Linked DNA regions of Notamacropus eugenii. The main gene of each other region encodes a partner of the protein of the gene in region 3 in a complex. Links are inferred from orthologs where the notes say so. Each region holds a gene or a part of one and is shown on either strand. Other genes may lie near its edges. The genes, in order: STRIP1, PDCD10 and STRN.

Region 1 (3,745 bases), on a different chromosome or scaffold from region 3:
GAACACCCCTCACTGATCAACAGTACCTAGAAGTGTGTCATTTCCTTGGTATAGGGAACTCCCCCCACCACCAGAAAAATCCCCAAACAAAAGACTCCAGTGCAGGCTGACACTTTTTTAGCATCTTAAAGGTTGGGGAAACTGTTTTAGAAGCAAGAATTAGCCCTAGGTCTTCCAAAAGTCATGGAGCTGGAAGGAACCTAAGATGCCATCTGATGGATCCATTTTACAGATGAAAAAAGGGAAATTACTTCTGTCCCATGGGACAGAGGCACCAAGATGGCACATGATGACGACTTGCTGGCCTGCTGCTAGTACACTGGCCTATCCCCTCCCCCCACTTCATTTACTAAGAAGGAGGCCTAAGTGGGAGGCAGAGAGGGGGCAGTGGACCTCCAGTCTGACTCCCCTTGGCCGCCCTTTCCACTGACCCTCCGCTGGAGAGCTCAGAGCAGCGGTCAGCAGGGTGCGAGGTCAGTTTCTTCCAGTCCAAACGAGCTTTGCCTAACAAATAGCATTGGAAAATAGTGAGCCCGTAACCTGACTCTGCAGCCAGGGGGCGCCATAGTAACCAGAGCGGGACCTGGAGCCACGAAGACCCCGCCTTCTGAGTTCAAATTCAGCCTCAGACCCGTACTAGCAGTGTGACCTTGGGCAAGTCACTTCACGCTTTTTGCTTCCGTTTCCTCACCTGTAAAATGAGCTGGAGAAGGAAATGGAAGATCACTTCAGCATTTTTTGCCATGAAAACCTCAAATGGGGTCACACGACTGAAAAACGACCTACCAACTACCACAGTCCGACCGTGCGTCGTGTTGCGGGGCGCCCGAGAGGTATTCCAGGCTAAGACACCCTAAAAGGTTGCCGCGCTCAAGATGGCGTCTCCCATTCACCGCCACACTCATTATGGCGGAAGTGAGGGGGCGCGGCAGGGTTAGGGGTCAAATCTCGCGAGAGAAGCGGCCCCACGGCCATGCGAGAGTTGGGCTGGGGCCGCAGGAGCCAAGATGGAGCCGGGAGGCGGTGGGCCAGGCCCTCTGATCGTGAACAACAAGCAGCCGCAGCCCCCGCCGCCCCCGCCTCCCGCGTCCCCGCAGCCCCAGGCCGTGGCCCCGCGGACCGCCGGCGGCGGCGGGGGCGGCGGGGGCGTCCTGCCCGGGGGCAAAGGGCGGGAGTTCAACCGCAACCAGCGCAAGGACTCGGAGGTCAGGGGGGGGGCGAGGGCGAGGGCGAGGCCGGGCCGGGGTGGGCAGGGGCGGGGCCCTGGCGGGGGCGGGGCCTAGGAGCGGCCGCTGACCGGGCGCTGTCCGTGCGCTGTCCGTGCGCTGTCCGTGCGCTGTCCGTGCGGCGGGGGCCGGAGCCGGAAGCTGTGCGAGGCCCGAGGCCCCGGGGGCTCGGAACCGCGGCGGCCGTGGGTGGGCCCGGGGCGACCTCGGCCTCCCGGGCTGAGGAGGGAGCTGGGCGGCGCCCTCCGGAATGGACCGACGCCCTCGTCGGCCGCGGTGCCCCTGCCCTCGGAGAAGCCACTTGAAGGCCGGCCACCCGCTCCTCCTCCTCGGTCGTCGGGCCATCTTCGCCTGGGTCACCTCCAATCTCCCGACCTGGGTGTGAAAACCAGAAAGTGCGCCTTGGCCCCGAGCGCCGCCCTGGCTACGCCCGAGTCATTCACCGGCTCGGGAGTAGTTCCGCCCACCGGCCTCATGAATGAAAATACACGTTGGGGTTTCCTTTTTTTAAAAATTAGGTCACCTTAATCAGCATATTCCCCAGCACTTCGCTGTTCCTTGGAGAATCATGCTTCCTGAGATAGTCACTGGGAAGGAGAGGGGACCGAACTCCTTCACCAGGAATTTTCTGACCCGGTGGCCGAGGGAGGCAGGCGTCTGTCAGGGAGCCGGCTCTTAGGGAATGTTGTCACATTTTCAGTAGTTCGGTCTTTAAAGCCCCAAACTGGCCGATCTCAGAGGAGCCTCACCGTCGGCGAGACGGTGGTGATTAATTCAGCCAGTCTGTATTGGCGGCCTACCCAGTCTGGATGAGGAAGGCGCCCAGCTCTGGCCCCGCTCTGTGCCCGGCCCTGTGCCCGGCTCTGGCCCAGCTCTGGCCCCGCTCTGTGCCCGGCTCTGGCCCAGCTCTGGCCCCGCTCTGTGCCCGACCCTGTGCCCCGCTCTGTGCCCGGCTCTGGCCCAGCTCTGTGCCCGGCCCTGGGCCCCGCTCTGTGCCCGGCCCTGGGCCCCGCTCTGTGCCCGACCCTGTGCCCCGCTCTGTGCCCGGCTCTGGCCCAGCTCTGTGCCCGGCCCTGGGCCCCGCTCTGTGCCCGGCCCTGTGCCCCGCTCTGTGCCCGGCTCTGGCCCAGCTCTGTGCCCGGCCCTGGGCCCCGCTCTGTGCCCGGCCCTGGGCCCAGCTCTGGCCCCGCTCTGTGCCCCTTGTGTGACAGGCACCGTGAGAATGCAGGAGAGAGGGGCCAGGGAAGGCCGCCCGGAGCTGGCGTTGGGTCTGAGGCTGACCTTGGAGGGGGGCCTTTAGCACGGGGCCCTGTGCAGTGGTGAGGAGGGCCCGCAGGTAGCGGCAGAGGGGGGCAGAGAAGAAGCGGGGCCGCGGAGTCCCAGAAGATCAGAGTTTGGCTTTAACCCGTCGGCAGTGAGGAGCCACTGAAGATGGGCAGCGTTGGTTGTACGAGAGGATAATTAATGGCGCAGCGGTATGTTAGATGGACGAGAAAGAGGAAAGAGTGGGGACCCTGGAAGCAGCACTGCCTTTGACCGGCTTATTACCAGTGTGGGGAATCCCCACCGTTCCGAGCCTTGGTCAAGTGAGTGACTTGCATTGGATGATCTCCAGGGACCCTTCCAGCTTTCAGTCTCTGGTCCTGTGATCGATGGGGAAGTGTTGGAGTCGAGAAAAGCCTGAACTGGTTGGTAATGATACAACAGAGGAGGCTTATGGAAGTAGAATCCACGAAAATGGTGATTGGCTGGTTGTGGAAGGAGAGGGAGAAACTCAGCTAATTGCCTGAGTTATTTGAACCTTGAATGATTAGGTACGTTAGAATAAAGAAGTCAAAAGAGGAGCTTGTGTCCTTGAGAGGAGAGATAAAAGTGATGAGTCAGATTTCATGTATGTTGAGTTTGAGGTGTTAGCAAGACATTGATTTAGAGATGTCCAGAAGAGAGCTGAAAACTGGTCCAAGGTCAGACAGGTTAGGACTAAAAGAGATTTTCAGTTATCCCCGTAAAGGTGATGGCTAAAGTAGTAGGAGTGGATAAGTGTATGTAGAAAGGAAGATCCTTGAGGGAGATCCCCAAGAGGCAATTTGGAAAAAATGCTGATTTTAGAGTCATAGGACCTAGATTAGAAACCTGGTTATTTTCAGAGTATGAGCTCAGACAAGTCTTTCCATTTCTCTTGGCCCCAGTTTGTAAAATGGGGGATTTAAATTAGATTATTTTAAAGACACTCTCCAGCTCTAAATCTTGTGACCTCACATTTACCTGGGTAAGGAGAAACAGAATAATCTAAGAAGTAGGTGTAGAAACAGAATGTGATATCACAGAAGCCAAGGAAAAAGAGAATTTCAGGGAGGGAAAAGTGAGTTGTGTCATGCTACACAAAGTTCAAGAAGGGTTCAGACTGAGAAGAAGCTCTAGAAATGACCTTTATGGTAGTGAATTATATGTCATAATTCAGAAGCAATTGCCCATCTCCCTAGTTAGCTGTCAACAGCGTGCTATAGAAATGTTTGTCG
Region 2 (3,745 bases), on a different chromosome or scaffold from region 3:
CCCTCCTCCTTTCAGCTTCTTCAGTGTACTCTTTCTCTAGTAGACAGTAAGCTCCTTGAGGTCAGGGACTGGTCTTCTTTTTCTTATCTGAATCCCTAGTGCTTAGTACAGAACCCAGTACATAGTAGGTGATTAATAAATGTCCATTGGCTATTAATAATTATAGTAATGATTATAATAAACAAATGCTGAGGGAAAGTCAGGGTGATGGTCGTATGAAAAATGGAAACCACATCTAGCTAAGTGATCAAGGAAGACTTCATGGAAAAGGTGCCATCAGATGGATCTTGAAGGATTCCTCCGACATAACAAATGCTGATTGTTCTTAAATAATTTGATGACTTTTCTCCCTTTTACGTGTATTATAACTGATATGTAATTCTCTTTTATATTTCATTCTTTTGATTTTGGATCTCTATTCTATCTTGAAGTTGACTTTTATCATAATATCCTTTTTGGATCTTGGTAAATTCCCTCATTATTCCAAACTTCAAGTCATAAAAGGAACCTAGGGAAACCTATTAGACAGTGACCAGCATGTAAAACAGACAGACAGACAGACACACAGACACACACACACACACACACACAGAGTCTGCCAGGGCTTTCTTTGTTATAAAAAATTGAGTAAATATCTTGAGAACAAATTATGTGGAGATGGCTGACTATAACTAGATATGATTTTTGAGGTCAATTTATCTTAACTTGGAACACTTAACATTTTATGAATTTCTGTTAAAAGTTTCTATCATAATACCTAATACCAGACCTATATTAGTGTAGATAACTACATAGAGTCATAGCATGCAATTATCATGGCAGAGGGTGCTAGGTCCCTTTTCATTATTCTCAGCCTAATAGAAACTACAAATTTTACCCCAATCTCCTTCGTTCCTTACTGTGAAATCTTCTCAGGAATGTAAATCCTTAAAAAAAAAAATAGGGGAGGTAGATCATGTGACTTGCAGGACATATTATATGTTATCTACCAATGTAGTTAAACAGCAATATTTTCTCTGAGAGCTGAATTTTGAAATTATTCTTGAAGGTGGCAAAAAGTCAATGTAAATCACTGAGAGGTAACCCATACATTATCAGTTATGTAACCTCCCTATACTGACATACTAAACTTGTTTTCTAAGTCTCTGAAATATCAGTGTATGAGCAAACTGTTCTAGAAGTACCAACTTCAAAGTACTGTACTTCTGTAAAAAGATTTTTTTTTAAACAAAGGGAGACCTGGTGGAAGGAAAAAGCAGCACGTTAAAGTTCTCCTATGTCCTGAAATGACTTTCCTATATTAGACAAGAATAAGTTGTCACTTCTTATCAGTTACCAAAGCCATTCCCAAGATCGCAGGATTTCTGATTGGGACAGGATCTCAGAGGCAATCTAGCGCAAGTAACTCAATTCCCAAATTAGGAAAGTGAAGCCAAGGACACTTAATGGCCTTGCTGGAGGCCACACAGCTAAGATTCTAAACCAGGTCTTCCTGCTCCAATCCAGTGCTCTTTCCATCACCTGACTCCTCCAATACAAGGATAAAAAACCAGAAGTGAGTCAGATCCTCTTCCCTTTCCATGAATCTTGCACAACTTTTTTTCAGATGACAGGCACTCAGATGCACCTTTAAAGTTAAAATACTTGAGCCGATGGATGCTGGCCACAGACTCATCGGGATGCCTGTAGTTCTACAGCCCTCAGGAGGCCAAAAGAGCAGGTGAGGATGAGACATAGGGGTGGAGAAGCCCAACAGCGACTGCAAGGGAGCCTGGAGCCCGGCTGGGTGGGGCACAAACTTGGTACAGAGAAGTTCTGCACCTGGGCAGCGATCGCCGTCCAAGGGGGGCTTCTCCAACTCAGACACTCCCTATTCAACACAGAGATGGGGCGGGGGCGGGGGCACGGAGTCCAGGGGGGGCCAAGGATCCCCCCAAGCGGCCCAGCAGGGCAAATACGAGTTTAATTTTCAATGAGGGGGGGCACAGATGTTCCAGGTGATAGATCTGCCCCCCCCACTCCAGTCAGGGAAGTCAGACGCTACTCCAACAGACAGGGAGAATAAGGAATGGCTGTGGGAAGGGAACAAGCATTTATGAAGCGCCTACTGTGTGCGATCCGACTGGACGCCTGGGCAGCTGGGGCCCCGAGGCTCCCGCCTTGTCCGGCAGGCCTCCGTCCAGGGAGGACGCCGGTGACCCCCGACCTTGGGCCGCGAGCCCCGGCCCTTCCCTCCTCGCCCTACCCCGCAGGGCCCGCTCCGGGCTCCAGCCTCCCCCACCGCCGTCCCTGGCTCCTCCTCCCACACCTGGAGCGGACCCCACCCGAGGCACATCCGCCCCCTCCCGGCCTCGGCGGCCGAGGCCTGCCCCCAGCCATTGCCGCCACTTCCTGGACGGCGGCCCCGGGGAGGGAGGCCGGAGGCCGGGAGGGAGGCCCGCGCTCGGGCGGCCTCGATGAGCCCGCTGGAGGCCGCTCGCGTCTAGTCACCGCCCGACGCCCGCAGGGCCCCGCGGGCTCCCGGGCCCCGGCGCACCTACCCTCGCCCACCGGGGCGCAGCGAGGTCGAGGCCGGCAGGGCAGCCCTACCCTTGGAGGTGGCGGCGCCAGCAGCTCCGAAGCAGACTCCACTTCCCACCTCCGGAGCCTCTTCAACTCCCGGATCAATTCACTCCGGCAACGCCGGAAGGAGCCGAGAGGAACCAGGCGTTGTCCGGAATCCTGCCCAGCCGGAGCCGCGCACGGGCCGATGGGGGCTCGTAGTCTCAGCCTTCGGCCCTGCCCACAGCCGTGAACCCGGATCGGACTACATCACCCAGCGGTCCCTGCGAGCGGCTCCAGGAGATGGGTGGGGACGTCGCGAACCAATCGTCTAGGCCCTCTCGCTCCCCTGGGCGGGGCTGAGAGGAAGGGAGGGTGGGCTGGGGATCCGAGAGAAGGGGAGGAGTCTTGGCTCACCTGGCCCAATCAGGGAGGGTGGTCGGCTCGGGCTTCGGCTCGGGCGGGGGTGAGGAGGCGGAGGTAGAGGAGGAGGCTGGTGCACGCCTAGGGTAGCCCCTGGGGTGGCTCTGGGCTCTGAGGGAGGCGCGTGCTAGGAGGGACCCCCGGGGTTAGCGTGGGGTGGAGGGCACGGGAGCTCTGAGCGACTCGCTCTAACAGGAGCAGTGGCAGCAGCTTCTCGGGCTCAACCAGACGGGGCCGCGGGCAGTTGTCATCGCCCAACTCCTGTACCCTTCCCGGGAGGGGCAGGGGCGGCTGAGCTGGGGGAGGTGGAGGGTCCAGTGGAGATAGGAGCATCTCCTCCTTCCCTCCCCGATCCAGAGGCACATGCAGGTGCAGCAGGTGTGGGAGCAACCGGCGGGGCGGACGGTGAAACAATAGAAGTCGGAGGTGGGAAGACACAGGGAAAGTTGGGGGTGGGGTGGAGCGGTAAGATAGCGAGGGGGGAGCAGAAGCTAAAGCCTCCAGCCCAGGAAAGGTAAGGGAAGCCGGAGGGTGGAAGAGCATCCGCAGCTGGAGTAACCACGAGAGCAGCAGGAGGAGGAGGAGGAGGAGGAGGAGGGGGAGGGAGGAGCGACGGCGGCAGCTTCGTTTGCCACCCGGAGGGGCGGAGTTTCCGCAGCAGTAAGAGCTGAAGGCAGTGCTGAAACAGTAGCATTGCTGTGAAACAGTAGCAGCGCTGGCCAGAGCCGGAGCACGAGCGGGAGCCCCAGCTGGAGCCGGAGCTGTCCGTCTGGGACTTGTC
Region 3 (3,745 bases):
TGAAAGCATCAACATGGTACAATCAAAGTTCCAGCTAAAGTACAGCAGTTCTTCTTCAATTACGTTCAATTAAAATGCAAATACCCAAATAAAAGTTATAGAAACAAGTTATTATCACTTAAGTTGCTTTGTTTAACCGGTTTTTTTTGTGGGTGGGGGAATGAGATTGTTTAGAAGCAGTAATTGGGAGCACTTGAACAAACCACTTATATTGGAGACTAACAAGGAAAAGTTGCCATTTTTAAAAAAAGGTGATATTCAGTTGGTGATATCCTTGTTTCCAGAGTATCCAATCAACAAGTATTTATTCATCATTTACTAAATATCTATACTGGGCTAGGCAATACTGATACAAAATAAAAAAATGAGACGATCTGCATTCAAGGAACTTATATTCTATCAAGGAAACAGGACATACCTGTTGGATCATAGATTTAGAGCTGCAATGAAAACAAGAGATCATTTAATCCTCACACACTCCCTGTTTTCTAGATGAGGAAATGAGGCTCAGAGAAGCTGTGACTTGCCCATGTCAAGACAGGAAGTAAAGGGGGCAGGATTCAAACACACAAGTTTTGTGCCCTCCAAATTTGTCCTCTTTCCACAGTACTATTCAGCTTTTCCCACGTAAGTAGGTAAACTGTATATCAAGGAACCACAGGCTATACTCAAGACATAGCAGGCACATAGAGAACCCAATCCCACCTTCTGCAAGAGGCCTTTCTCATCCCCCCTCTGCTCCGGTCTTCCCTGCTGAGTTACTTTTCATTTAGATGGTACCTTCTATATAATTATCTGCATGGTGTTTCCCCTACTAGAAGATGAGTTCCTTGAGAGCCAGAACCTCCCCCCCTCTTTTCTTCCCCTTTCTCTGTATCCCCAGGACAGTGCCTACCACAGGACTGAACATTTAGTTATTAAAGATCGCTCTATCTCAGGACTTAAGGCACGGTGAAGGGATTAACTGTGCAAAGCCTGTGAACACCCAGTCTGGAGCGGACATATCTTATCTCAAAACAAGGCGTTGTACAGCCTATCACTAATGTGACTCCCTTTAACAGACCTCAACTTCCTTCAAAGAAAAATTCAATCTGGAAAAAAACCTCTTGACAAAAAGTTTTTATATTTGGTCGAGGTTTCTGTTTGTTTCCCCCCAGAGAATCTGTGGTGTGGGGGTTTTTTTTGTTTTTAAATCTTAACAAATCAGTTTCCCTTAAGTAAAGAACTTGACTTCTGACCCTCCATTCATTCAGACATCTCGGATCTAAAATCAGTGGGTGAAACGCACTGCGGCATAAGGCAGAGATTCGAATATATAGGAATTTTCTGTTTCTGAAGATACTATTTTTTCCCTTTTCCGTTTCCCACCTCTGGCCATACAACTTCATCTGTCCTCTCATTTCCTTTCTTTCACCGAGAAGAGAATCTACAGGAAAACACCACGTCTGGCCAAGCGCTGACCCCTCAACCCTGCGGGGAGCTCTCTGGCTCTGGCCCCCCGACGCGGGGCATGACTCTCGGAAGTGGAGCGGTCCGGGACCCTGCTTATCAATCTTCAACTAAGGAGGAAAAGACCCGAGCTCCGAGCAGGACCAGGAGACGACGGGGGAGCAGCTTTGGGGGGGGGGGGGGGGCAGGGCAGGGCAGGGAAGAGGCATTTCCCAAGGGCCTCCTCCGTCCAGGCGCCGCGCCCAGCGCTCCACAAACATCATTTCATTCCATTACACGGGAGGGGCGGCCGGGGACTAGAGCAGGTAGAGGCAGAGTGGGTGGGGCGAGGTGAAGGGGCTCTCGCGGCGGGGTGGGCGGAACCGAGGGAAGGGGGAGGGGACAGGCGGGAGGCTGGGAGGAAGCGGCAGGGGCGGGGCGAGGAGGGAGGAAGGAGGGAGGAAAGAGGCGGGAGGAGGAGGGCCGGGCCGGGAGGGTCTCTACCTGCAGCTCCGCCCGCTCCACCTCCCACTGGGCGCGCTCCACCTCGAAGCGGGCCCACTCGTGCTGCAGGAAGTGCAGGATCCCTGGGAGGCTGTACTGGGCTCGGGCCGCCCCCGTCGCCGCCGCAGCCGCCCCGTCGCCCGCGGCCGCCGCTTCTGCCAAGGGCCCGAGCCCCTTGACGCCCGCGGCTGCCGCCGGGTGGCTGTTGCTGAAGAAGACGCCGGGCCCCGCCTGCTCGTCCATGGCGGCCGTGGCGGCAGCCTGCTGCGGACCGGTGCCGGCTCTCGCAGCCGCCGAGGCAAACGGCAGCAACGGCGCCTCCTCCTCTTCCCTCCGCCCTCCTCTCCCCGCCCACACTCCGAGTCAGCAGGGAGCGGCTGCCCGGGCGCTTGGCCGGCCCCCCGAGCTGCTGACGGGCCGGGAAATGGGTCAATTGCAGAGCGCGCGCGCCCCGAGGGCTTGCTGGGAAATGTAGTCTCGGGGTGGCGGCGTTAATCGGCGGGAGTTGGGAAAGGGGCTAGGGGGCCTGGAAGGATTCTTTAGAAACTAGCGCTGGCAGACTCCAGCTGTCTGAGCCTAGCTGTGGCGGAGACCTCTTAGTCCTCCTTCCCGCCCCTCAGCCTGGCAGAGCCGGGTGCGGGCCGCTTCTCGGGACACACACCGACACGCACGGAAGGAAGTTCTTGGGCCGCGCTCTCTTGCACATACCCACACCCACGGAAGTTCGCGGGCTCTGCGCTCGCTCGGTCTCCGTCTCTAACTAAGTAGCACACGCACCCTCACCCCAAGGAAGTCGTCTGTGACAGCGCTCTCTCTCGCACGGTCGCGCACATGCACCCACGCAGATCCGCGGAGACAAACATATCACATCCCTCTACGCACCAAAGGATCGACGACTCGGCTCTTCCCCCACGAGCTGTCGTTTCCCGGGGTTATACTGGCTGGCTGGTCCTCCTTCTAGGCGAAAGTTCGTCTTGGGAATTGGTCCCAGGACCGGTCCCTCTCTACCCTGCTGCGTCAATTTCAGTTAAAGTCACGAAAATGGTGGTCACGAGTTTTGTTTTGTTTTCCATTCCCGGCCTGATCTTTTTATGTTGTCTCTGAAGCCTCCACTGACCTGAAGGAGTACTTCCCTCCAAACCTTGGCAGGATTTTCCTTAATTCCCGTTCTCTTCCCACACCCCAAGCCCACCCAGGCTTTCTAAGTCCTCTCACCAGTTGGGGTCAGCGAGATCCTTTCAGGGGATAATCGAGATCAAAGCTATTTTCATGATAACATTTTAGTTTCATAATAAGACACAATTTCTATCATGGTTAATATCAGTAGATATAAACCACATGAACCCCAAAGAGGAGGGTGGTCCTCAATCATTTCTAAGAGTGTAAAGTAATACTAATTATAAAAACATTTGAGAACTGCTGGGCTAATTCATAAGATCTTAGATTGGGATGTAGAAGAGAATTTCCAGGTCAGCTCCCGTATTTGATAGTTGAGAAAACTGAAGACCTAAGTGATTGACTTGTCAAAGTCATTCATGTAGGTCCTAAGTCTGAATCTACACATCTAGAACTCGCAACTGAAATTTTTGTAATACTGGAAAGATGGCAGAATAGATGATCTCCTAAGGGCCCCTTTCAGCTGAAAACCTGTATGAACTTAGGAAATCACTTTCTTCCTTTCTGCCAAGATTAGAGGGCTTCACTCCTGCTCCAGTCATCTGGAAAGCTAGCCCAGTATCACTGTTTGTTCCAACTCCTAATTTGGTGATCACCTCTTCTGACAACTCCTTCCAAAGCCCTAGTAAAGGCCCAT

What was found.
Region 1: STRN (region 3) and STRIP1 share a complex: the UniProt entries of both Homo sapiens proteins name them as parts of the core of STRIPAK complex. The link is inferred for Notamacropus eugenii from reciprocal best matches to the Homo sapiens genes STRN and STRIP1.
Region 2: STRN (region 3) and PDCD10 share a complex: the UniProt entries of both Homo sapiens proteins name them as parts of the core of STRIPAK complex. The link is inferred for Notamacropus eugenii from reciprocal best matches to the Homo sapiens genes STRN and PDCD10.

Annotation. Positions count from the first base shown.
Region 1 is NC_092873.1:288,384,898-288,388,642, forward strand, and holds the start of STRIP1 (striatin-interacting protein 1), read left to right. Parts: upstream 1-992; 5' UTR 993-1,007; coding exon 1,008-1,205; intron 1,206-3,745. UniProt on the Homo sapiens protein: Plays a role in the regulation of cell morphology and cytoskeletal organization. Required in the cortical actin filament dynamics and cell shape. Part of the striatin-interacting phosphatase and kinase (STRIPAK) complexes.
Region 2 is NC_092877.1:356,732,029-356,735,773, reverse strand, and holds the start of PDCD10 (programmed cell death protein 10), read right to left. Parts: upstream 2,738-3,745; 5' UTR 2,590-2,737; exon of another isoform or gene 2,537-2,589; intron 1-2,536. UniProt on the Homo sapiens protein: Promotes cell proliferation. Modulates apoptotic pathways. Increases mitogen-activated protein kinase activity and STK26 activity. Important for cell migration, and for normal structure and assembly of the Golgi complex.
Region 3 is NC_092872.1:541,647,413-541,651,157, forward strand, and holds the start of STRN (striatin), read right to left. Parts: upstream 2,267-3,745; 5' UTR 2,176-2,266; coding exon 1,933-2,175; intron 1-1,932. UniProt on the Homo sapiens protein: Calmodulin-binding scaffolding protein which is the center of the striatin-interacting phosphatase and kinase (STRIPAK) complexes.